Oryctolagus cuniculus: one gene and its partners. The protein of the gene in region 1 purifies or fractionates together with the protein of each later gene. This does not show direct contact. Links are inferred from orthologs where the notes say so. Each region holds a gene or a part of one and is shown in the gene's direction. Other genes may lie near its edges.

The links.
Region 2: the proteins of VAPB (region 1) and VPS13C purify together in Homo sapiens (co-immunoprecipitation; 3 studies listed by BioGRID and IntAct, counting the BioPlex papers as one, with this or other methods). This does not show direct contact. The link is inferred for Oryctolagus cuniculus from reciprocal best matches to the Homo sapiens genes VAPB and VPS13C.
Region 3: the proteins of VAPB (region 1) and MIGA2 purify together in Homo sapiens (affinity purification with mass spectrometry; 3 studies listed by BioGRID and IntAct, counting the BioPlex papers as one, with this or other methods). This does not show direct contact. The link is inferred for Oryctolagus cuniculus from reciprocal best matches to the Homo sapiens genes VAPB and MIGA2.
Region 4: the proteins of VAPB (region 1) and OSBPL9 purify together in Homo sapiens (affinity purification with mass spectrometry; 7 studies listed by BioGRID and IntAct, counting the BioPlex papers as one, with this or other methods). This does not show direct contact. The link is inferred for Oryctolagus cuniculus from reciprocal best matches to the Homo sapiens genes VAPB and OSBPL9.
Region 5: the proteins of VAPB (region 1) and ACBD5 purify together in Homo sapiens (affinity purification with mass spectrometry; 4 studies listed by BioGRID and IntAct, counting the BioPlex papers as one, with this or other methods). This does not show direct contact. The link is inferred for Oryctolagus cuniculus from reciprocal best matches to the Homo sapiens genes VAPB and ACBD5.
Region 6: the proteins of VAPB (region 1) and TTC1 purify together in Homo sapiens (affinity purification with mass spectrometry; 4 studies listed by BioGRID and IntAct, counting the BioPlex papers as one, with this or other methods). This does not show direct contact. The link is inferred for Oryctolagus cuniculus from reciprocal best matches to the Homo sapiens genes VAPB and TTC1.
Region 7: the proteins of VAPB (region 1) and RMDN3 purify together in Homo sapiens (affinity purification with mass spectrometry; 4 studies listed by BioGRID and IntAct, counting the BioPlex papers as one, with this or other methods). This does not show direct contact. The link is inferred for Oryctolagus cuniculus from reciprocal best matches to the Homo sapiens genes VAPB and RMDN3.

Annotation. Positions count from the first base shown.
Region 1 is NC_091442.1:3,747,802-3,751,214, reverse strand, and holds the end of VAPB (vesicle-associated membrane protein-associated protein B/C), read left to right. Parts: intron 1-2,255; coding exon 2,256-2,414; 3' UTR 2,415-2,506; downstream 2,507-3,413. UniProt on the Homo sapiens protein: Endoplasmic reticulum (ER)-anchored protein that mediates the formation of contact sites between the ER and endosomes via interaction with FFAT motif-containing proteins such as STARD3 or WDR44.
Region 2 is NC_091443.1:84,939,082-84,943,198, reverse strand, and holds part of VPS13C (intermembrane lipid transfer protein VPS13C), read left to right. Parts: intron 1-733; coding exon 734-826; intron 827-2,855; coding exon 2,856-3,221; intron 3,222-3,589; coding exon 3,590-3,676; intron 3,677-4,117. UniProt on the Homo sapiens protein: Mediates the transfer of lipids between membranes at organelle contact sites. Necessary for proper mitochondrial function and maintenance of mitochondrial transmembrane potential.
Region 3 is NC_091432.1:232,203,355-232,206,157, forward strand, and holds part of MIGA2 (mitoguardin 2), read left to right. Parts: intron 1-99; coding exon 100-198; intron 199-335; coding exon 336-470; intron 471-857; coding exon 858-911; intron 912-1,417; coding exon 1,418-1,534; intron 1,535-1,721; coding exon 1,722-1,925; 3' UTR 1,926-2,803. UniProt on the Homo sapiens protein: Regulator of mitochondrial fusion: acts by forming homo- and heterodimers at the mitochondrial outer membrane and facilitating the formation of PLD6/MitoPLD dimers. May act by regulating phospholipid metabolism via PLD6/MitoPLD.
Region 4 is NC_091438.1:121,319,930-121,324,775, reverse strand, and holds the start of OSBPL9 (oxysterol-binding protein-related protein 9), read left to right. Parts: upstream 1-1,688; 5' UTR 1,689-1,733; coding exon 1,734-1,844; intron 1,845-4,846. UniProt on the Homo sapiens protein: Interacts with OSBPL11 to function as lipid transfer proteins.
Region 5 is NC_091444.1:103,234,760-103,238,876, reverse strand, and holds part of ACBD5 (acyl-CoA-binding domain-containing protein 5), read left to right. Parts: intron 1-2,989; coding exon 2,990-3,110; intron 3,111-4,117. UniProt on the Homo sapiens protein: Acyl-CoA binding protein which acts as the peroxisome receptor for pexophagy but is dispensable for aggrephagy and nonselective autophagy. Binds medium- and long-chain acyl-CoA esters.
Region 6 is NC_091437.1:47,008,588-47,011,884, forward strand, and holds the end of TTC1 (tetratricopeptide repeat protein 1), read left to right. Parts: exon of another isoform or gene 1-1,183; coding exon of another isoform or gene 1,184-1,236; intron 1,237-2,033; coding exon 2,034-2,167; 3' UTR 2,168-2,671; downstream 2,672-3,297.
Region 7 is NC_091443.1:63,896,874-63,901,578, reverse strand, and holds the start of RMDN3 (regulator of microtubule dynamics protein 3), read left to right. Parts: upstream 1-1,745; 5' UTR 1,746-1,844; intron 1,845-2,194; 5' UTR 2,195-2,201; coding exon 2,202-2,388; intron 2,389-3,183; exon of another isoform or gene 3,184-3,315; intron 3,316-4,382; coding exon 4,383-4,575; intron 4,576-4,705.

The DNA of each region.
Region 1 (3,413 bases):
CCTGGCTTCCTCAGGATCTCAGAAGGATCTGGAACTCCCCCTCGCGTGAAGAACCACTGTCCCCTCAGCAGAAGGTTCTCGACTGTTTAAAAGCTGCTTTAGGAAAAACTGAAAGTAAAATTGGAGGCTAAAAGTAAGACGCCATTGGTCATTTCGAATGCTTCCCGGGCCCCGCTGCCCCTCAGTCGCTGGGGTGGAGACCACTCTGACTGTCCTCTGCTGCTTTCCAAGCTGAAGACGGCGAGGGGAGCGAGCTGCAGGCTGCTGGCTCATTCCCCGCGTGCCCGAGACAGCTGGGGCAGAGCTGGGAGCTGGAACTCAACCCAGGTCTCCCACGGGCATGGCAGGAACTCCAGTCACCTGGGCCAGCACCTGCTGCCTCCCAGGGAGCTGGAACTGGGGATTGAACCCAGGTACTCTGGTGTGGGCTGTGTCTTACCTGGTGCACGGCTGCGGGGCCAACTCCCGCACCTGTGGTCCATTTTAACACAGACGTGGTCCTGACTCGGAGACCAGCAGTGTGAGCAGCAGCGGTCCCTCAGACTGGTGGCGCCGGGTGTTCTCACCGTTTGCAGGAGGTGGGGCTGTGGAGGGAGGGCCCCGACTCCAGCTCGTGGCCGTGGCGCCGGCCGGTTGTGTTGTGGCACGGAGGCCTGTGGTGCCAGTGACCTCGGCCTGTGCCCGGCACAGCGTCTGTCAGGCTTCCATTTGAAATGCTTCAAACGCCCCTCCAGCTACAGAGGTCTGCGTGTGCTCCCCACACGGTACTGGAGAGAATATCCCGAACACCTGACGGTGGGTGCTTTGGCTCCACTTCTTAGGCCTGCCCGTGCTCTTGTCTTGACCGTGCCACGCGAGCATGGGACAGGTTTCAGTCTTAGCTGCCGTGGCGCCAGGCGCACAGGAAAGACGCACTCCAGTTGGTCGTTCCGACAGCGGGGCAGGCGGAGGGAAGCGGCTCCGTCTCAGTGCCTCTTCGCAGCTTCTCTCTGCGAGGAGTAGGTTAGGGAGCCGGCACTTGGCTTCTTGGCTGAATAGCTGAGCTAGGCCTGAAGCTTCTCCCTAAGTACGTCTCCCTCCAGAAACGGTTCTGCATGCCTGCAAGTGAGGGACAGCAAGTGCTGTCACTGAACTGAGATGGGCCGTGCCCCGTGAGCAGGTGTCTAAGATATCATCAGAACAGTCTTGCCGTTGGAAGATTCTTTGTCTTGCCAGACCCTGATTCTTTTGCGCTGGCTCCTTGGGTGTGGCCAACATGTCCCTGAGTCTCTGCTGTGAGCAGGCCCTGCCCTTGAGCTCTGTGGATGGAGTAGCAAGGAGACACTGAGACAGACAGCGGCCTGTCCGGGTGCGAGACGGTCCACAGGCAGAGCAGCGAGTTGCAGGGAAAGTCAGCGTTGTGGGCTCCTCTGCCCGTGGCCTCTGCACCTGCGAGGCGCGTGGGTTGAAGGAGAGGGGAAGGGGGCTGTGGGGTGCAGATGGGGTGGTGACAGGAGATGGGCAGGATGGAAGGCCCGGCCGCAGGCCCCGCGTGCCCTGCTGTCTTGGGCCCAGAGGTGAGGGAGGAGCAGAGGTTCCGCCCCGACGCAGCCTGGTCGTTGGGGGGGGAGAGGGGGTCACGCATCTTTGTATTTGTGAGAAAGAATGTTGCTTTTGTTCATGAGAAGTCCGAGCCTTACATGGAAAGTGCTGGACGTCCAGTCACGGCTGAATACTGCAAGCGCGCTGTGTTCTGGTGGGCCGGCTCCTCCCGGAGCGTCTCAGGGCTCCCAGGTCCCCGCTTCCTTGTTCCTGGTGCTCCTCTGTTTCAGGAATCGATGACCAGGGTAGCCTGTTCTCAGCGTGGAGGACAGAGGAATCAGCGCTGGGCTAGGGGAGAGGAGGAGTTGGGAGACGTGGACAGGGTACACATGGCCCCGCTGGCCCGAGACCTCCCTGTAAACCACGGGGAGCCAGGGAGCGCCCCGTGAGGGCAGGGGGCTGGCATCAGGCATAGAGAGCCAGGGAGCGCCCCGTGAGGGCAGGGGGCTGACATCAGGCATAGAGAGCCAGGGAGCGCCCCGTGAGGGCAGGGGGCTGGCATCACAGGACAGATGAGGGAAGAGGGCCCTTCCTGGGGGTGAGATCCGGGAGACCGCACGCACTGGCTGACCGCCCTTCCCGGGCCCTGTCTGTCTGTCTGGCTGACCGCCCTTCCCGGGCCCTGTCTGTCTGTCTGACTGACCGCCCTTCCCGGGCCCTGTCTGTCTCTGCAGGAAGAAGACGGGCTTCGCCTGAGGAAGACGGCACAGAGCAACAGCCCCATCGCGGCCCTGGCCGCCGCCGGGAAGGACGAGGGTCTGAGTGCCCGGCTGCTGGCCCTGGTGGTCCTGTTCTTCATCGTGGGGGTGATCGTAGGGAAGATCGCCTTGTAGAGGCAGCACGCGGAGGGTGGGTCTACCACGCCATGGGATTTGAATCGATCATAACCTTGTGTAAAAAGAAATTAACCTACGATGACATCTCACAGGTCTTGCCTTTAAATTACCCCTACCCCCCACGTACACACACGCCCAAGTACACACACAAATATAACATACTCTAGCAATCCTTAGAAGGGAGCACTGCGTCGTCAGTGGTCGGGGGATGAGTGGTCTGCATTGACGAGGGAGCTGTGAGGGCTGCCGCAGTGGTGAGGTTTCAGCGCGCTGGGCCTCGGGCGGTGCTGCGAGGCGGGTGCCCCTCCCTGCCCGGGTGCCCCTCCCTGCCCGGGTGCCCCTGCCTGCCCGGGTGCCCCTCCCTGCCCGGGTGCCCCTGCCTACCCGGGGTGCCCCTCCCTGCCTGGGGTGCCCCTCCCTGCCCGGGGTGCCCCTCCCTGCCCGCCGGTGCCGAGGCGGGGTGCCCCTCCCTGCCTGGCGTGCTCCTCCCTCCCCGGGGTGCCGAGGTGGGGTGCCCCTCCCTGCCCGGGGTGCCCCTGCCTGCCCTGGGTGCCCCTCCCTGCCTTGGGTGCCGGCGCTGTGGCAGCAGCCCCTGTGCCTGGGAGCCCCCGCTGCCCACTCCCTCCCTCGGATGCTCTTCCGCGTCCTCAGTCTGTTCCCTGGGACTGGTGGAAAGAGGCGGGCGCCCGGACAGCAGCGTCTCAACCCGGAGGCCCATGCTGGCTGAACCAGCACTCAAACAAGTCAACGCTTCGTTCTCTTAAAGGGACCACGCTGAATTACTGTTGGTTCATGTAGTGAAATCGAACTGTTGTTCAGAGATGTTTAATGCATATTTAACTTATTTAATGTATTTCATCTCATGTTTTCTTTTTGTCACGAGAGTGCAGTTAATGCCGTGGCCTGGAAATCATCCGTGCTCCCCCAGGCCCAGGCGCAAAGCTGGCATGGCCTCTGCAGGGCTGTGGCTCCGTCTCCGGAGGCTCCCGCGCGTGG
Region 2 (4,117 bases), on another chromosome or scaffold:
CTGGCCTGAAAGAGGGGCAACCGGGACAGAATCCGGCGCCCCGACCGGGACTAGAACCTGGTGTGCCGGTGCCACAAGGTGGAGGATTAGCCTATTGAGCCACGGCGCCGGCCCAGGATTATCTTTTAACATATCACAGAAAGTTTATACTGCATTTAAAACTTATCCTCATTATTTTAAAAATGAAAATTATGTAATAATTCTTATTACTCTGGTCAGTTCAGAGGCATGGTTCTTTTATTTGTTTAATGATATGTGAGAGCATAGACTATATTTTTAATATCTCATCAAGTTTGAATATTTGAAATTTATTCTAATAAGGACATAACATGATATTGAAGATTGGCCTGTTAATTATCCAGAGACTTTTCATTTACTTTTCTTACCTCATTCTTGAGCTGATTTTTACAGCTACTTACAGGAGGCATCTTGTGAAATATGATTCAGCAAGAGGAGACATTTTAAACTTCTGCTATTGAAGTACACCTTCCCTTAAGGATTTGGTGTAAAGAAATCCATCAGAAGTGCTTCAAGTGCTGTATAGTGTTCACAATTTGTTGTAGTTCAGAGTTTGACCAAGAGCTTCTTAGCTAGTTTGCCTTGCGTTTCTGCTTTTGATAGTAGACTATAGTTAAAGCGCTAAGTTAAATACGCTGTGGCTCTTCTAAGTATGTATTAATTGTATAATGAATTGATCACTAAAGACATATGAATTTCACTTATTTGTTACTAGGTATTGCATCCCTGCTCTTTATTTATGGAAAAATGTACATGGGCTTCAGGAAAACAAAATATAAATATTATGGTCAAAGAATTTATAATTAAGGTTAGTGCTTGTCATATTTTTGGGTAAAAATTCTTGTTTTTGTAACAATATTATATATTTGCTGTTCCTTGAGATAATATCTTTTGCTGTCTTTTCATAATTTGAGTATCAGTGATAGTCACGTTCAGTAATGAGTAAATAGTTGTAACATTAAAATATATTTTAAATGCAAATGTTTGTTTCTGTTTTCTCTGTAAGAGCACTTTTAATATTTATGAATGAACAAGGTAGTGTTCTGTTATATTTGCACGTGTGTGTTGGAGAGGTTGAGTTCGAGAGGAGAGCAGAGCTGGGGTGGGAGGAGAAAGAATTAGAGGAGGTTGCTGTTATTGTTACTTTTAGGCTTTTATTTAAGTATATTTTGAATTTCATAACTGATATTTTGTTTGGTTCATAAAATATTTGAAATAACAAATGTATGGTAGAAATAAATTAGAATTTTTTTTAAAAATCCCTTATATTTAAAGTATTGAAAAAACAGTTTCTGTTCTTTAGCAACATTTGTATTTTTTAAGTACAACCCTATACCCAGGTAAAAATAGAAGATACAGAATGCTTTCTGAAATCTGTTTCTGTCCAGAGGACACAGAAATGAGATTGTTAATGCCAGTAATGATGGTAGCTTTATTCATAGGTCTTTGACCAACAGTGGTAGAATTGAAATTCACATTAATTTCATTTTATGTACCATGTATGCAACACTGTAATTTTTGTCCAATATTTAAAAACATGATGTAGTCTTAGATTCTGTTTTATTAACGAATTTATACTTTTAGGATATAAAGTAGCAAATGGGGGGAAATTCCTTGAATTTTGCATATATTTAAATCCCTGAAGTACTAGATTAGGTACTAAGAGGACCTTCCACTTTTTTGTACAAAACTTTTTTATTCAGCAAACATGTGTGTGAGAAGGAAGTAAGTAACTCAGTGATTATAGCTTTCAGTTGAGGCATGCTCCAGGTGCTATTGCGAGCATGAGCACAGGTCCTCTAATTCAGACCAAGACATCAGGAAAAACTGGGGGTGAGACTACCTGAACTAAGTTGGGAAAGGCAATGAAACTTAGAAAGATGGAAAGGGAGGGGGGAGGTTTCTCCAGACAGAACTGACAGTATGAATTATGAAAATAATTCTTTAAGCACTTAGAGTAGTAGTTCCATATGTCCAGACAGATGGTGTGGTAGTTTTTAGGACTGAGGTCATCAAATATTAGTGAGTATAATAAGTCAAGAAGAAACCTCATTTAGTTGACAGGAAATTAGGAAAGTGTTGCTAACTAGGTCTTCCTTTTGGTAATGTAATTACGTCTCTTTAGCATACTGGGTAAGTAGAGGTGGAGAGAAGTGAAATGTGAAGGACTGCATTTATCTTACATGACTCAGTGTTTCTTGAACTGTGGGGATCTCTGGCTAGCTGATTAGACACTAGGTCACAAGGAGCTTTGTGTACCAAGCCATATGGAGAGTTTGTATTTTGTCCTGAAAGTTAGAGGAAGTTGTTGAAGATTTTAAGCCTAAGAATGAAATGGCTGGTAGCAGTTGGGAGGGTGATGAGTGGACACACAAAGTACCATCATTTGTATAATGAAAGCATGGTGAGGAAGGTGAACAAAGATACTGCTCCCAAATAAGGCGCAACTCACAGATTTTCAGTAAGATAAAAGGGAGCTATCTGTGTATAACTCAGCAAAAGATCATGCACTTTGCTTACTTAATACAGCTGCTTGAAGAATGGAAAAGTTGATTACACTTCTCATATTTGTCCATTCATATAACATTATTTTACTCTGAAGTGATCAGTGTAAGTTTCAATATGTAACACAAATTAGTTCCAGATAACTGAGTGAGTGGAAATCTGTGTGGTACAGTTAGTTGACACAACACATGATTTTGTGTTCTCTCTTTTGTTCCTGAGTTACAGATTCAACACATTTACATTTTAAGTTTTTAACTTTTGTGTCCTGTATTTGTTAATTCTCAGCTGAGAAAGAATCTATTCTGAACATTTTTTGCTTTCTTTTTTTAAAGATTTCACCCATAATTCTTAATACTGTAATGACAATCATGGCTGCCATGTCTCCAAAACCAAAAGAAGTTGAATCCAAAGATACAACTAAGGAAATGGAAAACCTTTGGAGTATCAAGTCTATTAATGATTATAATTCTTGGTTTCTTGGTGTTGACATGGCAACAGAAATAACTGAAAATTTCAAAGACATTGAAAATCCTCTCATAGAAGAGAATTGTACTCTTGCCGTGGAGACAGTTCAGGTTACCTTGGAATGCGGCCTTGGACATCGAACTGTACCCTTATTACTGGCTGAGTCTAAGTTTTCAGGAAAAATTAAAAATTGGACTTCCCTGATGGCTGCTGCTGCTGACATGACACTACAGGTATGGTCATAGCTCTTAGTCCAGAGCCAGCTTCTTGAAAGTACAGCTGCGGAATGAAGATACAGGCCTTTGTTGTTTATACCTAGCCACATCAAGTATGTAAGTGGATGGAGAATATATTCTAACATTTGGTTTGTTGGTGCTTAGTATTTTTTCATACTTATTTTTAAAGAGTTTTTGCTAAATAATTTTTTGTTGCAACAAGTAATAGAGTAAATGAAAAGATGCTCTATAATTTTATGTCTTTAAGTGAATTTCAAAATGGCTATTGAGATATAATATCAATTACTAAATATTTTTCCAGCTGGTTACAGAAATATGTAAGTAAAGTTGAGAAAGTCATGTATTACACTTCTGTGCCTTTCCAGGTTCATTATTACAATGAGACCCATGCTGTCTGGGAACCACTGATTGAAAGAGTGGAGGGGAAGAGACAGTGGAATTTAAGTCTTGAAGTAAGTAAGGAAATGGTTAAATATCTTTGTATAGAGTGACATTATACATATCTATTGATACTTTTAGTTCAATCATTGCAAGATGTGTTCCAGGATCCTGGAAGGCCTTTCCTGAAATTCATGAGGTCAAATTCTACTTTTGTAATAATATTCAGTCATTTATATCATTTTAATTTGTATTCTCTTAGGAGCATTCAGTAGAGTTTTTCAGAGATTATATGAATATGAGATTGGAGCAGTTTGAGCCAGGACAGAAATGGTAGCTCCTCTCTCTTCTCTTAAGGAGGCACCACATTTCATTGTTTATGTATATATAAAGAGACAGAGATCTTCCATCTGCTGGCTCATTTCCAGACATCCACAGTAGCATGGTCTGGCTAAACTGAAGGCAGGAGCCTGCAGCTCAGTCCTACTCCATGTCGGAGGCAAGGATTCAAGTAT
Region 3 (2,803 bases), on another chromosome or scaffold:
TGCCAGGGCGTGCTCCCCACCCAGCCGCTCCCCGTGAGCTCGCCCTGCTGGGTCTCCGGCCAAGCCCGTGAGCAGGACGGGCCGTGCTTGTCCCCGCAGAGTCCCAAAGGCTTCCTGGAGAGCTACGAGGAGCTGCTGACCTACGCCCTGCGGCCCGAGACCTGGGCCACCACCCGGCTGGAGCTGGAGGGCCGCGGGGTGAGTGGGCGCTCCGGGGTCCCTGGGCCCTGGTGGGGGAGGGGGCGGCCGTGCTGCTCTCCGCCTTGGCTCTCCTCTGCTCCTGGCGTCCTGCCCGGCCCGGCCCGGCCCCGCGGCTCAGGCCCCGCCCCTCCCAGGTGGTGTGCATGAGCTTCTTCGACATCGTGCTGGACTTCATCCTCATGGACGCCTTCGAGGACCTGGAGAGCCCGCCCGCCTCGGTGCTGGCCGTCCTGAGGAACCGCTGGCTGTCAGACAGCTTCAAGGAGACGGTGGGCCGCTGCTCCCGCGCCAGCCCCTGCCCCTGGGGTCGGGGGCCGCCTGTTGCTCCCTCCCTGCTCCCGGGAAATCCAACCAGAGCAGGACGAGACAAAACAAGCAAGAGAGGAGACTAGGATGAGAGCGTGGCGCAGACGCCGGCGGGGCCAGCAGTGACCCCGGCAGCCGGCCAGGAACCTGGGCAGGGGGACCCCTGGGGCAGACGGTGGCTCAGTCCTGGGACCCGCAGTCCCGGGGCCGTACTCAGGTTCAGGTTTTCCACGTGTCTGATTCGAATCCAGGGGAGAACGGCAGGCACCAGGCCCATGTTCCTGCTGGGGGGCGGGGGCCGAGGGCCCAGCCTGTCCTGACAGCAGGCTGGCCCTCCTGTCTTTGATTAGGCCCTGGCCACTGCCTGCTGGTCGGTCTTGAAGGCCAAGAGGAGACTACTGATGGTAAGTGACTTGACAGGCCCCGGGGACGCCGTGTGTCCAGGGTCCCCTCCTGGCGCCCAGCTCAGCTGCCCCCTGTGGGTGGATGCTGGCCCCTGCTCTGAGGGTGCGGGGCTCACCCAGGGGCCTCACAGAGCCCCCAGGCCCCACTGCACCTTGGCCCTCGTCAGTCCCGGCACCGCTGCCCCCTGCCTTGGCCAGGAACTCCCCAGAGGAACCTGTGGGACCACATCCGCCGTCAGGATGTGTCCAGGCCCCGCCGAGGGGCACGGGCATCCTTGGGGGGGGGGGCCGGTCCCTGCAGCCACGGCTCCATCCACACCCCCCGGGCAGCCGCCGGCTCCGCGGCCCTGTGCTCCGGCACTTCCTGTGCCACGCCCACCACAGCCCCGCCTCGCAGCACCCCGCTCACCCCACCTGCAGAAGGGAATCTGGGGCATCAGGGTGCCTCGCGCGGGCGGGACACGGCCAGCTCGAAAGCCCGGCCCTGGCCCCGCCGCCCTCCACAGGTGCCGGACGGCTTCATCTCCCATTTCTACTCCGTATCGGAGCACGTTAGCCCTGTGCTGGCCTTCGGCTTTCTTGGCCCCAAGCCCCAGCTCGCCGAAGTCTGTGCTTTCTTCAAGGTAATGGGGGTGGCTCCTGCTCTCTCTGCCCCAGCACAGGGGCCCGGGGGGCGCCAGGGACGGCGCCAGGGACAGCGCCAGGGCTGGACCTGCTCCTGGGCTGGGAGAGCACGGGGGGGGGGGGGGGGGGAGGAGTCTGGGCGGGGGCGGGGCCTCGGCCCCCACTGACGCCTGCCTGGGCCCCCAGCACCAGATCGTGCAGTACCTGCGGGACATGTTCGACCTGGACAACGTGCGCTACACGTCGGTGCCGGCGCTGGCCGAGGACATCCTGCAGCTGTCCCGGCGCCGCAGCGAGATCCTGCTGGGATATCTGGGGGCGCCGGGGGCCGGCAGCGGCCTGAACGGGGCGCTGCCCCAGGAGAACGGGCCCCTGGGCCAGCTGCAGTAGTGAGCACAGGCCGGGTGGGGGCGGCAGTGAGGGGGCTGTCCGGCCCCTCCTTGGGGTCGGTATCCGGAGGCCCGGACCCTGCCTGGGAGTCCCGGGGGGCGGTCAGCAGGGCCTGGCAGGGGTGGGACCCTGAAACACCCACACCGCAGAGCTGCTGGTGAGGGGCTGGGAGGGACCAGGAGGACGGTGGGAGGCGGTAGGCGGGCTCTGCGGTGATGGTCACGGCGTCCTGAGCAGGGAGCAGCCCGGGGCCGCCTGGTCACAGGGCCCAGGCTCCCACACTGGGGAGCAGCAGAGGAGCCAGGGCAGGGCGGGCCCTCGGCAAACGCAGGCACTAAGCTGGGATGCTGCCCTGTGGCGTTCCGCGTCCTGCCGAAGGCTGACACTGACCCTGCCACCGCCAAAGACGAGGGCATGTGGGGCGGGGGGCTCCCGCCCGCCACCCACCGCCCCTGTGGCTGGGAACTCGCTGCGGGTCAGCCCTGGGGTGCTCCCCAGCAGGGGCAGTCAGGGGATGAGCAGGGCTGGACCAGAGCGAGCCTTCAATCACGCACACACAAACCCCGGGCCCCCGCACATGGCTGGTGGTGGTGCCTGAGCTGGGGACTTTTATTTATTGCCTTAAGACTTTTACTTTGCGCTTCTGCCCCTTCCAGGCGTCCGGCCTGCAGAAGCAGCTCCTGTTCCTGGCCTCCCGGTCTGGGGTGAGAGGCCGGGGCAGGAGGGCGCACCGAGGGAGGGGACGCTGGGCGCGGCCCTGGTGCCCTCCCCCACCCCGACATTCCGTTCTTTTGCACACCCCGCGCTGTGAATGGAGCCCTGGGCCTGGCCCACACCTGCTCTGATTTGCTTCCGAGTCGCACGGAGGTGACGTTTCC
Region 4 (4,846 bases), on another chromosome or scaffold:
ATGCCACAGCACCAGCCCCAGAGTCCACATTCTTAACTACTAAGCTTTGAGCCTCCACTTAACTAGAATCAGGCAAAACTCATTCATTTCTCCTCCACTTAACTACCCACCAACTGGTATCTGAACTCATACTCTCAGCTCCCTTTCTTGTTACTATGGGTGAAGTATCTCTGCTTTTATCAAAGGTCAGCTCTTTTACCTGGGCTTAGGGAGTCTCAGCCCAATGGAGGGCTTCACTGTTGCTAGTCTCTCCTGTTTCCAGGATGTCACCAGTTTTTCCCTCTCCTGGAAATCAGCAAAATAACATTCACTACTTCCTTCAATCAAAAAAAAAAAAAAAAAAAAAAAAAAAAAAAAAAAAAGACCTCCTCGACCTCGCTTCCACTTTTAGCTAATGCCTCCATTCACCAGCTTGCTTTTTAGCTCTTTCCCCTTGATATTTGCATGATTGACACTTTCTCATCCTCCACATCTCAGTTTCAGCTTAAATGCCACTTTCTGAGAAGCCTGCACTGACCATTCGCCCTGGCTTTCTATTCTGTTGGGTCAGTCACCTTAGTAAATCCTCTGCAAAGGGTTTATTGGTATTGCATACTTTTCTTGCTTACTTGTTTAATGTTTTTTGCTTTCATCATAGAATGTAAGCTCTTAGATTGCAATGTACCTATCTGGCTTGTTCACTGCTGTATTCCCAGGGTCTTGCACTATGAACGCCTGGCTACTGTAGGTGGCTAATAAATACTGAAACTGCCCTTGCAGGCGGTAAGTGACTTTTCGCCTACATTCTCCCCAGCTCACTGTGCCACTCGCATGACCTCCTTGCTGCTCTTCCTTACTGCCGACTCACTCACTCCTCACCCTTGCTATTCCTTCCCCTGGGAAGGCTTTTTTCCAGTCTCCCTCTTTCACTTTTTCCTGGTCTTTCTTCAAAAATTACTTTCTCTTGGAGAAACTTTTTTTTTCTTTCTCTCTTTCTTTTTCTTCTTCATACAAAGTGTTGAACTCTTTACCTAGAATAGAGTTAATATTCTGTGTATTAAAAAGTTAAATGAAAATAGATCTTAGTAAAAAACAAGACTGGGAACAGGAGAGGGAAGAAGAGGAGTGGGAGTGTGGGTGGGAGGGCGGGTACGGTGGGAAGAATTACTATGCTCCTAAAGCTGTATTTATGAAATGCATGAAGATAAATTAAAAAAAAAACCAACCAACCAACAGCAACAACACGAAAGTTAATTTATTCAGGTTTTCCCAGTTTAGGCATTTAAAATAGCAGCCTTAACTCTCTCTCTCTTTCATTGCTTAATTTTTCTCCATAGCACATGCCATTTTTTAGTATATAACTTACTATGCCTTGCCTGTTACCCATCAAGAAGGCTCCGCTCTACCCCAAAGCCTAGAAGAGTGCTTAGCATACAATATTTGTTAAACGACTGAATTCGTGGGATTAATGCACAAATGAATATCAGATGTGAAGTCTTTTCAGCATTGCTTATAAAATTATTTATGTGTCTGCATTTTCGTATCCCTGGCATATTGTCCTACACACAATAGGCACCAAAAGGCAGGGGTTCGAAGGCGATCGCAGGGGGCGTGGCTCGAGGAATCCACACGGAGAGGCCGCTGCAGACTCCGCCCCTGTCCCGCCCCAGCCCGTGGAGGCCCCGCCCCCCGCATGCTGAAAGCCATATAGGCGAGTGACGTCAGGCCGTTTGTTGTCATTGGCGGCTCCCAAGATGGCGTCCATCGTGGAAGGGCCGCTGAGCAAATGGACTAACGTGATGAAGGGCTGGCAGTACCGTTGGTTCGTACTGGACTACAACGCTGGACTGCTTTCCTACTACACGGTGAGTCCTCGGGTGAAGCTCCGAGCGCCTCCGGCGCGCGCTCCCTGGATGGAGGCGGGGGCCGGGGTCTCGGATAGCCGGGCTGAGGTGGCTGGGCTGGGGGTGCCGCCGAACGGGAGGGTCCCTCGTCGGGGAGGGCTTTGCGTCCCAGACAGCCAATGAGGGTGAAGGAGATGCGGGCACAACCAGTCAGCAGGCACTGGCTGTCTGATTTATGGGGTGGGGGGGTGAGCCGCGTTATTTTGGGGGGTCAGGTGTTAGGCTGTGGTGGGGTCCGGCGCAGTTGTGAATAGAAGGGGCGGTCGTGGTCGTGGCTGAAAGGTTCCGGTCGTGCGGGCTGTTCTGTGTCCTCGCGTTGTCATGGACTTTACACTGTCCCCTCAGGCTCTGTGAACGGCCGCACCCCTTAGCTTCCCTCCCGGGAGTGAAGAGCTCCTGTTTCCTCAGAGCAGTGGCCAGACGAGACTGGCCAGGTCTAAAGGTCATGCCCGACCCACACCAAGGGATCCGAAATCCTTCCTCTCTGTCCAGGTTGAGTGTCTCCTGCAAGGGACACACCCCTGTACCGGGGGAGGCAAGCGTAACCGACTGCCTAACTTTTGAGAGCCGAGCATGTCCTACACCCGAGTCTCTTGTTAGCCCAGGGAGAGAAAAGGGGCGGTGCGGTGGCCCCTGAAAGTTACATTCTGGGGTGGTCTGGCTTCAGGCTTCATGTCGTTAACACGGGTCAGTGGCCATGGGCAAGTGGCTGAATGACTGCGAATCTTGTCTGACTATCCCCTCTGCCCCCGCTGCATTAGAAATGGAATGTGGGTGGAATTAGAGAGAAATGACTTCCAAAGGTACTTCTTTGAATGGTGTGTAGTTAATAATAGTCAATGAGAGGGAGAAAGCCACTTAAAAGAACAAAATAGAATGTCTTGAGAGCTTTAGGAGATAATAGAAGGCAAAGGAAAAACGTGATTATGGAAGAAGGGTTAATGTTGATGAAATGAGAACACATACTTATTCGCTCATTTAAAAAATATTGAGCTCCTGCCATGTGCGTTTCCATGCCAGCAGGAATCAACAGGAATGAAGATACTCACTGTTCTCTGTTCTTGAGTTTTTATTCCATTCTAGTGATCTCTTCCTTTTACTCTCAGTAACTCTGCAAGGTCGGTGTTCATTATCCCTATTTAATATTCCCATTTCACAGTTTCGGAGTCTGAGGCTGCAGGCTTTTAAATAATTTGCTCAAAATCACATAGCAGGAGTAAATAGTGGAATCAGGACGCTGAATTCTTGGCTTTCTTTTTCCACTAAACTTCACTTCCACTAGGCAGAGGAGGAAAGTGCAAGCTCTGAATTACAAAAGGCAAAGCTTGCAAAAGGAACAGTATTAATTTTGCTGTCCTTCAACCATCCACTTCCTTTCTCTACATAATTTTTAAAGGGAAAAAGTCCAAACATTAGTGAATCTTTTTTTTTTTTTTTGGACAGGCAGAGTGGACAGTGAGAGAGAGAGACAGAGAGAAAGGTCTTCCTTTGCCGTTGGTTCACCCTCCAATGGCCCCCGCGGCCGGCACGCTGCGGCTGGCGCACTGCGCTGATCCGATGGCAGGAGCCAGGTGCTTCTCCTGGTCTCCCATGGGGTGCAGGGCCCAAGCACTTGGGCCATCCTTGACTGCACTCCCTGGCCACAGCAGAGAGCTGGCCTGGAAGAGGGGCAACCGGGACAGAATCTGGCACTCTGACCGGGACTAGAACTTGGGGTGCCGGCGCCGCAAGGCGGAGGAGTAGCCTAGTGAGCCGCGGCGCTGGCCTAACATTAATGAATCTTAAACACATTGTTCAAGATTATCTTTAGGTAGGCATGAAAGAGACAACTGAACATTATGTTCCAAAAAGCCTGGCATTATGAAATCCCATGATTCAGAGAAATGAAGAGTAATAATGGGTTTCAGATGATGTGATAATCAGAAAATCCTATGGAATCTATTCAAGGTAGAGTAATCTCAGTGAGTGGCACCATGGAATTAAGTGACTCTGCAAATGCAAAATTTGTGTGGGTCTCAATCGAGGGTCACTAGAGGCCCTAATCTGGGGTTCTTGGGAGCTTCTGGCCCAGACAGAATTTTCCTTTTTCCTGTTCTTACTTTAGTGTATCCTTTTTCTGCCTCCTTACGCTTTTAGTTTTTGAATACTTGGACAAATATCTCCTGCCTTACTGGCTACATACAGATTTTTAATACCCTTCTTTTTTTTCTTCTTTAATACTTAAACTCCTTTCTGATCTTCAGCATTATGATTTGGAGATCACTAATGGCTGTTTAGAAGTCCCCCACCCCCACCCCTCCGCCGATACTTTCGTGTTAAACTGTTTTCTTGCAGAGAAACAACAGAGAAATTCTATACTGTTTTGTGAAAATAAAGTGATACCCAATCCCAAATTATAGGAAGTTTAGTAAATGGGGGTGGGGGTGGGGAGGCTGGGTATCCACTTCAAGGGAAAATAGAAGACACATTGAATGCTGGTAATGAACTCTGTATACTTGAACATCTTTAGTACATCAGGATTCTGAAGGATTGGAGAATATATATTGATGATTTGAATGTGGCTGATAGCTTGGAACTACATATATGAAGAATTAGTTGTACAGTCGCTTAAGCAGGGCAGTAAATAGCAAGTCATTTTATTCTTTGTGTCTAAAATGATGTGGGCTAAAGGCTGGCTCTGTGATTATAGGTCTTTTTGAGGGTAGCCATGAAAATCCAGATTGGCCTTGCTTTAGAGTTGGCCTATACTGAGAATTGATGTTGAGATAATCTCAAAATTGGATTAGGCTTGCTGGGATTACTGTAAACTGAATAGATTCACCCAAGCTTCACCTCAGCTTGGATCTTCACCAAACTTGACCTCTGGGAATAGAATGATTGTTGTACTGTATTCTTTTGTTTCATAATTTTCTTTTATTTTCATAATCTATGAATCTTTAGTTTTTGAAAAAGAGTTTCTGATG
Region 5 (4,117 bases), on another chromosome or scaffold:
AACAGAGACCATACTTTATCTACTGCCTTATACACAGAATATATTCAGTTAATATTCTCAGGTTTTGTTTCAATGTATTTTTAATTCACCTAAGCCAATAGACTTCTACATCTTACTTGTTTCATTTACTGAAGATATTGTGAGAAATGAAACTTTTGACATTTTTTTAAAAAAGATTTTATTATTGGTTTATTTGAGAGGTAGAGAGTACAGACAGAGAGAGGGAGAGATAGAAAGGTCTTCCATCTGCTGGTTCACTCTCCAAATGGTCACAACGAAGCCCGGAGCATTTTCCTGGTTTCCCACACTGGTGTGGGAACTGAAGCACTTGGGCCATCTTCTGCTGCTTCCCCTGTCCATAGCAGAGAGCTGGATCAGTCCAGGAGCAGCAGGGACATGGAACTGGTGCTCATACGGGATGCTGACAGCACTGCAGGCAGAGGCTTAGCCTACTATGCCACAGCACCGGCTCTGCTTTTAACATTTTAAATTTAGGTTTGTGATAAGTAGGTAACCATCTTTACCTTTGATTTCTCCAATTTTCCCTCTGCTATATAAAGAAGAACCGTATCACTAATACACTTTATCTAATAGATACTCCTAAATTTGTATAGATAGATAGATAATTATCATGATTTTGGAATTGAACTGTACCCTTGGCCAAACCTGAAACACTGCTCTCTGCTTGTCTGTATCTTAATTTCTACAGCTTTTATGAGCAACTAGCTTTTGATTACTCGTTATCTGTTTATTATTCAATCTACCAAGTTTAAAAATGTCTTCTGTAGACTTATTTATTTTTATAATGATTTTTGTTTTAGAAGTAGTACACATTGATGTTAAACTTTATAAATACAAGAAAAAGGGAAATAAAATTATCTGTATACCTGATATCGAGAGCACTCCTTTTTTAACTTTTTGATGTACTTTTTCCTACTTTATTTTTGTGAATATGAACACTTATTTTGCAAAAATGGGTGATACTGTATTTGCTGTTTTATAGTGCTGTTTTTCTCATATTGTGAATTATGAAACTCCTTGCCATTTACATTTTTCTGTGCTATGTTTTTTAGGGCTTTAATTATAAGATATTTTATATATATATATATGTCTATTTAGCAAGCTATTTATTATAAAACATCAGTTTTTCACTGCAATTTCAAGTATTGTAATTCATAATACTTGTTCATGTAATTTGAAAATTTGGGACATAAAAAGGGTTATAGATATGCTAGAAACTCACATGAAGACATCATTTTTTCTTTTAAAGATTTACTTACTTATTTGAAAGGAAAAGTTACAAAGAGAGAAGGGGAAGAGAAAGAGAGAGATATCTTCCATCTGCTGTTTCACTCCCCAAATGGCCACAACAGTCAGGGCTGGGCTGATCTGAAGCCAGGAGCCAGGATCATCTTCTGGGTCTCCCAGCAGGTGCAGGGGCTCAAGCACTTGCATCATCTTCTGCTGCTTTCCCAGGCCATTGCAGAGAGCTGGATTGGAAGTGGAACAACTGGGATTTGAACTGGTACCTATATGGGATGCAGGCGCTGCAGATGTTGGCTTTACCCACTATGACCCAGAGCTGACCCCTCTTATTTCTTTCTTTTTAAGATTCATTTACTTATTTGAAAGGCAGAGTTATAGAGAGGGAGAAGCAGAGGCAAGAGAGAGAGAGGTCTTTCATCCACTGGTTCACTCCCCAAATGGCCACAACAGCCAAGGCTAGGCCAAATGGAAACCAGGAGCCAGGAGCTTCATCTGGGTCTCCCATGTGGGTGCAGGGCCCCGAACACTTAGGCCGTCTTCCACTGCTTTCCTAGGTACATTAAAAGGGTGCTGGGTTGGAAGTAGAGCAGTTGGAATTTGAACCGGCGCCCATATGAGATGCCAACACTTTTGGCAGCAGCTTAACCCTCTATGCCACAGCACTGTCCCTGAAGGCTTATCTTTAAAGAAACTGATGTCTTCAGAAGTAGGCAATAAGAAATCTATTTCACATTAGATTGATTCTTTTTGTACCATCATATGATTGCCTTTAGCCAAAGTTCTGTGTATTGAGAAATTGAAATTTGGCTAAGAGGTATTGAATTTTTACTGTTGTGATTTTATTAACCAAAGTATACATTTAATTATAAATCATTACAATCTAATAAAATTATAGAAAGAGAAATGATGGCATGGGAAGTTTCATAATACAAAATTTGGTAGAAAAAGTAGTTTAAAAACAGAATATACAACATGTATTTTGGCAAAGTAAGTATTTTTATACTTACTGTTATTCTCATTTATGCTACTCAGCTTTAATTTTTTATAGCTTTACCATGTATAATAAAGTTATTCTTATATGTTAATACATTTGTGATATAAGTGATATTTGGTGGTTATTTTGGTTATACTTAATAGGATATGTATTTAGGTAATCTTTTGTTATTGAGCATTTGTGTTAGGCAGTGCTGTAACAAAAAAATCTCAGGGTTTTTAAAAAATAAAATTAGCAGGGCCGGCGCCATGACGTAGTAGGTTAATCCTCCACCTGCAGGGCCGGCATCCCATATGGGCGCCGGTTCTAGTCCTAGCTGCCCCTCTTCCAATCCAGCTCTCCGCTATGGCCTGGAAAGCAGTAGAAGATGGCCTAAGTCCTTGGACCCTGCACCCACGTGGGAGACCCAGAAGAAGATCCTGGCTCCTGGCTTCGGATCAGCACAGCTCCGGCCATTGCAGCCATCTAGGGAGTGAACCAGTGGAAGGAAGACTTCTCTCTCTGTCTCTCCCTCTCACTGTCTGTAACTCTACCTCTGAAATAAATAAATAACTTAAAAAAAATCAAATTAGCAACGTAACTAATAAAACTGACAAATTTTATTTTTATAAGGTAGAAATAAATTATTATCCGAACTATTAATGAAATATAAAATCATTATTATTACTGTATAGCTATGCTAATTTGTAACCCCAAGTGATCTGTATATTTAATGTATGTTTCCAATAGGTTCATTCCAGCCAACAAATGAAATGATGCTCAAGTTCTATAGCTTCTACAAACAGGCAACTGAAGGACCCTGTAAACTTTCAAGGCCTGGGTTCTGGGATCCTATTGGAAGATACAAATGGTAATTTTACTTATAGAGATATAAAAAACAATTTCATTTTGATGAACTGATGATCTTATAATTCTTATTTACATGGTTATATATTAATTCTGGACACAGACTGTCCCAGATGTAATTTTTATTCTCCATGCTCTTGTCATAGAATTTTACACAAACAAGAAAATGCTGGGGAAGACAGGAAAATAGTAAGACCAATTCCCAAACTAAATTAAAGAAACAAACTTCTCTGCCTCTTTTAGCTGCCAAGAAAAAGAATGACTTGCTTTTCAAGTGACACTGTTTGCTTTGAGACTTTAAGATAATAAATAACTAGGATTATGACTCGGGTGCTGCCACATTAACTTTTTATCTCAGCTGTCACTCTTAACCTACTTGACTTTAGAACACAAATTTGATTTTTAATATGCTTGAAAGAATCATAAACTATTGAGGTACCTCTGCCATTTTCCCAATTGACTAATATTTGTTACCCTTAAATATGAGCGCACTTCAGAAAATCTCTTTAAACTGCTAGAACTATTGGGTCCTTCATATTACTGAAGACTTTATAGAAGTTTTAGACTACACTTTGTCAGCACAGTATGCTAATTGAGGAATTATGTTTTAAGAGCCCCTACATGCTAAATTTTTCTTTGAGAATGGGAAGGACTATCAATTCATTTGATGATCTTTTAGTACTATACATTTCCAGTAGGATCTTTATGAATAGTAGCAAAGTAATAGTTTAATGAAATAGTAATATGCTATTTGATATGTCCATTTTGAGAAAATTTGTCTGCTTCATTTTTTTTCCCCAGAACTGATCTTTGGTAGAGTTATACTCCTACTGGACAAAACATAAAAAGTTTAGCAGTTTTTGTGTTAGGCAAAAATTTCCAAGGACTGTTCTTATTACCTGGGGGTTTAAAGTTTTCCTGTCCCTGACATTTTTATTTTAGAAGTGAGAAACCATTTTCATTTTTAGTCCAAATATGTAAGTTAGGATTAATTAGTGATTAATCAATTAG
Region 6 (3,297 bases), on another chromosome or scaffold:
TCGGCACAGATGTGCCATTGGATTCTGAAGTACAGCTGCTGTGTCCCCTGTGTTTGGAGAAATATATTTTCATAGAGTTGATTCTAAAGGTTTCCTGTAGCAAACAGGTCTTTGAGCCAGGTAGGCAAAGTGAAGGTCTGTGAAACAAAATTTCCCTTTTCATCTACATGCACTCTTAGCTTGGACAGTCTTCCTACATGAGAAGACTTTGCCTGTAGAGCAGAACAGCCAAAAGCCAAGCTGCTGCCACCCACGCTTAGCACAGTCTGGAGGCGCAAGGCACTGTCATCTGGGACCTGCCATGCTGTCCTTCAGGTCAGTGCAATGCACGGCCTGGCCCGGGAAGGCTGTATTATGCCTGCACCGAGTCCGAGAGGCCTCTGGGCTCACCTTGGGCGTTCGTGTCTGTCTCCCCACTGCCCGTAGACATCTTCAAAAGCTGGCGGCTGCTTTTATTCTTCAATTATCTGTGCCTCCCACAACAGATGGCAAGTAAATATACAGTTTTTACTTCAAGGTGTTTCTCTGGAGATGGGCTTACAGTGATCCTTTCTCCAGGGGGTGCCTGTGGCTCAGTTGACCGTCTGGAGAGACCCTGAACAGGCTTCTCCAAGATGGAGCTGCCCTGACTCAGGCTCCCCTCTCCGTGTCACAAGAGCCAGTTATTGTACGTCTGTAAATCAGTTTTTCCTACCTGTTCTCTTCTCCAAAACCAAAGACTGCCAAAGTTCTAGGTCAATGTTGCCAGCTCCGTTTTCTTGAAGATGCCCTGTGATGTCCTTGCTTGTTGAGACCCCTACCAGGCATCTGTCCACTGAGTCTGATCTGAGCCTGTGCTGCTGCTGTGTGCCAGTGCCTCTCCTGAGCAGCAGCAGTGAGCGTGGGTGGCCCAGGTTTGTTTGGGAAACCTGCCTGGAGCATGGTCATCCCAGATTCTAGGAGCTTTGTCTATTGATGTTTTCTCTAGGAGTGAGCAAGCCTCTCTGAACTCAGTGTGTCTCTGTGGGCCAGATCTTAAGACCAAGATCACAAGTTCTCATCACGCTTCAGGAGAGAGGCCCCTTTAAAGTTTAAAGGTCGTGCATCATCTTCTTCACCTGGCCTCTAGTTTAGTAATAGGCCTCCAGTGAGAAAAGCTGCTAAAAGGTGTGGCAGTGGGAAGGAGCCTGTGCCTCTCTGATCATTAAGGATTTCTCTTTCTGTCTACCCCCATTCTCATCTCCATTGGAAGCTGACCTGAAAGGAAAAAAAAAAATGACAGTTGAGAAATGATTGAAACTATTTATTCACCCATCTCAGCTGAGACTTTCCAGAATACTCTGAATCTCAAATATTCCATCCCATTGCCATTTGAATTTAGTAAATGTGTGAAATGTCCTAGAAGTCCCAAATGTTGATATACAAACACCATGGCCATCTTGTATGTGAAGACAGCATAAAAATCCCAGGTGCTATCCCATGGGTCTCAACTTTAGGACGTGAGATCACTTAGGAGCAATTACTTAGCAAAACCTGAAACTTGGGGTCAGGAGACTGGACTGTACAATGGAGGTTGACAGCCCTATACAAGTAAACAGGATCCCATTTCCCAGGAAATGATAAATTTGGTATGTCCAGGATTTGCTTGGAAAAGCCAGAACTATTGAGTTTGAATCTAGGCTCAGAAGAAATTGGCTGAGTTGAATTAAATTTAGCAGGTGGCAACTGCTGTTTTATAGAGAATAGGCTTGTTGGGGGAACCTCTGCCATCAGTGCTGGGCAGGTGAGGCGTGGCTGGGAGCTCTCACCATAGCAGGAGATCAGCTGATGGACACAGGCTCAGGGCTGGATGACACTGACATCAGCAGTGACAGCCCCACTGAGTGGGGAATAGGGACTGCGCACTCTCCTGGCAGGTTTCCTGTCATTAAAAGCCAGCGTTTCTTTAACTGCAGAGATAATTTTTATATTTTAATCAGTGAGGCAGGATCAGTTGGTGTCTTCTGGCATCTGTTCAATCTGTATTCATTTGAGTTTTTGCTTTTACATTGCAGGTAAACTAAAAGATCTCGGGAACTTGGTTCTCCGACCTTTTGGGCTCTCCACAGAAAATTTCCAGATCAAACAGGATTCTTCCACTGGCTCCTACTCTATCAATTTTGTCCAAAATCCAAATAACAACAGATAACAAAGATAACAATAGTGTTAAAAGCTGCCTTGGAAATTGTGTGCTGCTTGCTGTTAACAAGAAGCAAGGCCTGCCAATATTTAACTTTTCAAAGCCGCTTATCTAAAGGAAAGGCTGTACAGTAGAGCATAGCGCTCTCTCCTTGCTCTTGTTTCATGATCAGAGTAATACGCACTTCCTGATAAAATGAGCCTAATTTGATTTCGATTTTAAGGTTTTCTGTGCAGCTGTTATCCCCAGTTCTGGCTGTCCTTTGTCTAGGAAATTCTGCTTGTCAAGACTGATGTCTCTGAACACCACACACACGTACACAGACACAAATGCGCGCACATGCGCACATCTTTCCTAACAAGCACACGTGTCGGGTGGGAGACTGCCCAGACATGGCTGACAGGGCTCCCTCTGCGTCCCCTCCCTGATCACACACGCTATCAAGGTTGCTGTGTGTGGATGGTCTCCAGCATTTCCCAATTTCCTCTGCAGTAATAAAAGCTTTCTGTGATAGTCTGGGCTGGGTCTTGAGTTTTGTCCCCTTTTATAATGACAGCTGAAGACGTCTCTGGCTTTGAGAACAGTATTGGTCTCAAGCAGTAAGGTTACTGACTGAATTTCACAAACGTGCCCAAAGTTTTACTTGCCATCTTGAAGAAATCACCATTCTGTGTACTGGAGTTCATAAATTCCACCTGACAAGCTGTCTTGGGCCCCTCCAGGTTAGTACAGATAATAATGATATCAGTGTTTCTGACCATGCGTTAATCTTAATTCCAGCTTTAAAAGAGCTTTGTTCGCAACTGGTGGTATGTGAGTGCCAGGCAAGGCCGTATTCTTAGACTCCATGAACCCAGGGGTTTCAAAGCCGCTTTTTTTCCCCATAGTCATCATTGACACTGTTGAAAGCTTTCAGTTTTCTGATCTGTCAAAGGCAGTGACATGCAAGGTTCATCTTGGGAGTGAGTCACACATAGAATTCTGTGTGTGGCATGCAGCAGTCGCACTCCCAGTGTCAGCAACTGCACTGCTTCTTCTGATCTGTTCCCCAGCACACTGACGGGGTTAGGGAGGGTCGTGAGGCAATGTTAACTTGTGGAATTTGCCAAAGCTGCAACATAATTCTACATAGAATTTAC
Region 7 (4,705 bases), on another chromosome or scaffold:
TTCTGTTGGGTTGCTTTGATTCTTAACAATGTACCTCTACACTCAAGTGTGTAAACTATCTCCCAGTTAGAAGGTAAATGCATACAAGAGAGTCAAGAATTTGGGGAGGACTGGCCTAGATGGTTCGGCTGTTGCTAAAGTCAATTTTCACTTGTAAGCAATGTTGATAAAATTGGAATTATAGTCCATAGTTTCTTTACCTGCTTTTTTTTTTTTTTAAAGATCTATTTATTTGAAAGTCAGAGTTACAGAACAGAGGGAGAGACAGACAGAGATCTTCCATCTGCTGGTTCACTCTCCAAATGGCTGCAATGAAACCAGGAGCCAGGAGCTTCTTCCAGATCTTCCTTGTGGTTTGCCGGGGCCCAAGGACTTCAGCCATCCTCTGCTGCTTTTCCCTGGTCATTAGCAGGGAGCTGGATAGGAAGTAGAGCAGCTGGAACATGGACAGGTGCCCATGTGGGATGTCCGTGTGGGGGGTAAAGCTGCCACTTGCAATGCCGGTGTCCCTTATGGACACCGGTTCAAGTCCCTGCATCAGCGTGGGAGACCCGGAAGAAGCTCCTGGCTCTGGCCTTTGGGGCCATTTGGGGAGTGAATCAGCAGTTGGAAGACCTCTCTCTCTCTCTGCCTCTCTGTAACTCTGCCTTTCAAATAAATAAATCTTAAAGAAAAAGGCAGTTGCACAAAGTCACAAGAGTGATATGGACCATACAGTGATCTGTGAGGGGCAGGGGTCGACATGCACCGTGGTTATGCAGACATTTGCTGACCCCGTGTCTGGCTGGAGCCTCTGCCCCCCTTCGGATCCAGCTCCCTGCTAATGCACCTGGGACTGCAGCAGGTCATAGTCCAAGGATTCAGGACCTTGCCATCCATGTGGGAGACTAGATGGAGTTCCTGGCTCCTGGCTTTAGCCTGGCCCAGCCCTGGCTGTTGTGGGCATTTGGGAAGTGAACCAGCCAGCGGAAGATCTCTCTCTCTCTCTCTCTCACTCTGCCTTTCGAATTAGAAAACAAAACCAAAACCAAAAAACTATGGGCCACTGGTGGACACACAAAAAAACTGATTAAAACACATTATAAATAAAACACAAACATCCCCAATGACATTCAAACCGGTTTAAGCAACCGGATGTCAAGTTTCAGCCTCACCCCAAATCGCTATCATTAGGGAAATAAATTTCACAGATCCTATCCATTCTGGAAACGGACATTTCCAATTCCGTTCCTGGGTAAGGTACAACGCAGCGACGCTAGGCCCCAGACTGACGGCTCGGCGCTGGCCGTGCGCTGCTGAGCGGAGGCTCAAGTGCCAGCTGGCGGGAGCCGGCCCTCCGGACTCGGGCCGCCGCGAAAACCAGCCACAGGCGCGGCCGTCCGTCCTCGGTAAAAACCCACACGCTATTAAATTAAGCCGAAATGGACCGAAGTCCGAACGGCGATGCTGAGGGAGGCGAGCGAAGGGGTCGCGGTAGGCAGGAGCGGGACTGTGCGGGGCACAGGTGGCTGGTGGGGCTGAGGAAAGCGGACGTCGGCTCGGCCAGACCGCGGGCTTCCTGCTCCAGCACCGGCCAAGTCGTCCTCTAGCTCCCTCCGCCTTCCTTCTCCCCCAGCCCTTCCCTCCTCCGCGGTTTCTCTTTCCCGCTCCCCGCAGACCACACCCCTCTGGCCGGCCCGAGACCCCGCCCCCCGGGGAAAAGTCCGGGCTGGAGGCGGAGCCTCGTGAGGTCATCTCCCTGCGCCTTCCTACGGTGAGTGGAGCTCGTGGCGCCGTCTCATTGACGTCGCGGTCATTGACAGCGTGAGGCAGCGGCGGCTGCTGCCATGGTGGTTGGCGGCCGGGTAAGGGTCGAGTTGATCTCCTGCCGGGCTAGGGGACGCCGGGGAAGCCAGGCGTTTGCAGCCAGGGAGGCGGGTTGTTGCTTGCAGCGTCCTGAGGCTGACTACGCAGGAGGAGGACTCTGTGGTCTGGGTCAAGGGGTGTGTTGGATGGGGGGCTCCGTTTGGGCTGGGTGAGGGGCGCAGTAGTCAGACCCAGGGACTGGCGGAGCATTAGGATCCGGATAAGGGTGAGGGTAGTCGGGAGTTCAGGGTCTGGGCGAGGGGAGTCTCCTGGAGTGGGTGGCCCAGGCTCACGAATCTCCCTCCTCCTCCCCTGCCTGCCTGCTCCCGGTGGCTTTCGCGGGCTGCAGGTGCAACATGTCTAGACTGGGGGCTCTGGGCGGCGCCCGGGCCGGGCTGGGACTGCTGCTGGGCGCCGCCGCCGGCTTTGGATTCCTGTGCGTCCTTTACAGCCGGCGGTGGAAACGGACTCAGCGCCATGGCCGGAGCCAGAGCCTGCCCAACGCCCTGGACTACGGGCGGACTCCAGAGCCTGGACGCCAGGGTAGGAGACCCAGGCCGCTGCAGACTGACGGGCCTGGAGGCAGGGGGAGGGAGGGGCTGCCCGAGGCTTGCACTTTCTTGGAAAACTCATTGAAAAGGAAATCTGTCCTCTCGCTCCGCGGTGCTCTTTCCTCTATGCAGTGGCTAAAGTGAAAAGGCGGCTTCGCTTTCGCTTGTGGTTCTGGCTGCAGGGGTGCTTCTGGGCATTAAAGGCACCTGTCTGTGTTGGGTGAGGTGTGGAGCAGAGGAAGAGCCCCAAAGAAGACAAAAGGAATAGCTAACCTTGTTGGAATTAAAAGTCTGGATATTGATATTCTCCGAGGAAACTCGGAGGCAAATACGTTTTTTAACTTTCTTAGGAGGAAACTGAGATTGATAAAGATTGTGTAACTTTTCTGAGGTCATCACAGAGTAAGTGAAGTGGCAAGGTTGGGCCCTCTCACCTGGTGCAGTGGACTTGCCACAGCCTGGAGCTGGGCACGCACGCTTCATGCAATTGAAGTGGAAGGTGCTGGAAGTCAGCCACGGCTGAAATGAGTAGTGCTCTTAGTTTTGCAAAACTTCGCACTCACTGGTGTGAGCCAAGCATCTACGACCGGTTCAAGGCCGCTGCCCTCCCCTCCCCCCACCCTTTCACCTTGGTGTGATGGGGGAGCGCTAAATCATCTCGCCCTGTGTTAATTGGGAATGAGTGTTTCCTCTAATCCATCTCACCTGGTTTGGAAGCGGCTTTAGAGTCAGCATCCGATTGCAGCCGCTGCCAGCGTTCTGTAAGCTGGCGGTAACCCAGTATTGCAAGGGTGCTGGTCTTGCCTGTCCCTTCCGTGGGATTTGTTTGCACTTCAGCAGTTTTTCCTCTACTCAGATCAGGAGAGAGTAGCCCCCTTGCCAGCGATCTCTCTTGCTCTGCATTGTTGAACATTGCTGGGTGTGTATTGTAGGCTGGCCTCAATTGTTACTGGATTTCCTTTATGCTTGCCTGGACACCCTTGAACTTGTGTGTCTTGCTCCTCTGGTTTTTTCTGGTTTTACGTTTTCCAGTCGCCATAGGCAGCTGCTAGCATTTCACTGCTGGAATTTACTGACCCCTGGATCCAGCGTCGGGGCAGTGGGGCTTGGTCGTGGCGTCTGGAGCGGCTTGGATGGACTTTCTCCAGGGCAGCTTTCTCTTTGCTCCTCTCTCATATCATTAAATGAGGCTGTCAGGAGCTCAGTTTTCCTTGTTCTGTTGAAGTGAGAGATGAGAATGTGGGTGCGCTGTGTGACTTTTGCAGTTTGGTGCGGGATTGATGGCCTGGTGTTTGGCCATCAGTAAGGTAAGGTCGTGTGAAGAAACTCGAGCAGAGCGGCTGCCCTTCCTCTAGGTGCTGGACTCCTGAAGCGTTTCACCTTATCTGCCATCTTGCACAGCCTTGCTCAAGGACCCCGGCGTGCAAGGCTCTAGGAGCGGAGGGCTCTTGTTTAGAAATTGGGGCCTTCTGGCCGGCGCCGCAGCTCACTAGGCTAATCCTCCGCCTTGCGGCGCCGACACACCGGGTTCTAGTCCCGGTTGGGGCGCCGGATTCTGTCCCGGTTGCCCCTCTTTCAGGCCAGCTCTCTGCTGTGGCCCGGGAGTGCAGTGGAGGATGGCCCAAGTGCTTGGGCCCTGCACCCCATGGGAGACCAGGATAAGTACCTGGCTCCTGCCGTCGGATCAGCGCAATGCGCCGGCCGCAGCGGCCATTGGAGGGTGAACCAACGGCAAAGGAAGACCTTTCTCTCTGTCTCTCTCTCTCTCACTGTCCACTCTGCCTATCAAAAAAATAAAAAAAAAAAAATAAAAAAAATTGGGGCCTTCATCTTTTTCTGGGTAGTTGGGTGGGACTTGTTACCCTGACGTCGCCGTGAATGTCTGCTCACTGCTGAGGCTCGGGGTCTTCTCTACATTGCACTGCCATGTGACGGGAGCCTTCTGGAAGGCTGGGGCGTCACGGCCTCCTGTTCCCGTTCCTGCAGCGATGCTGCTGCGGGCCATCCCAGGGGAGGCTGGCGATGCTGCGGCGCTGCCCGGCCCGGCGCAGGGAGGGCAGGAGAAGGTGCTGGACCGCCTGGACTTCGTGCTGAACAGTCTGGTGGCGCTGCGGCGGGAGGTGGAGGAGCTGAGGAGCAGCCTGCAGGGACTGGCGGGGGAGATCGTTGGGGAGGTCCGGTGAGTACGCGGCCTTCTCGTCTGCTTTGTCTCCTACCTCCCAGCGTCCTCTTGCCCTTTGGACTTTTTAAGCCGAGGTGTGTTCCGGCCTTTGCTGTCTGTCTCTAAGGAAGAAGCCAGTTGGGTAACC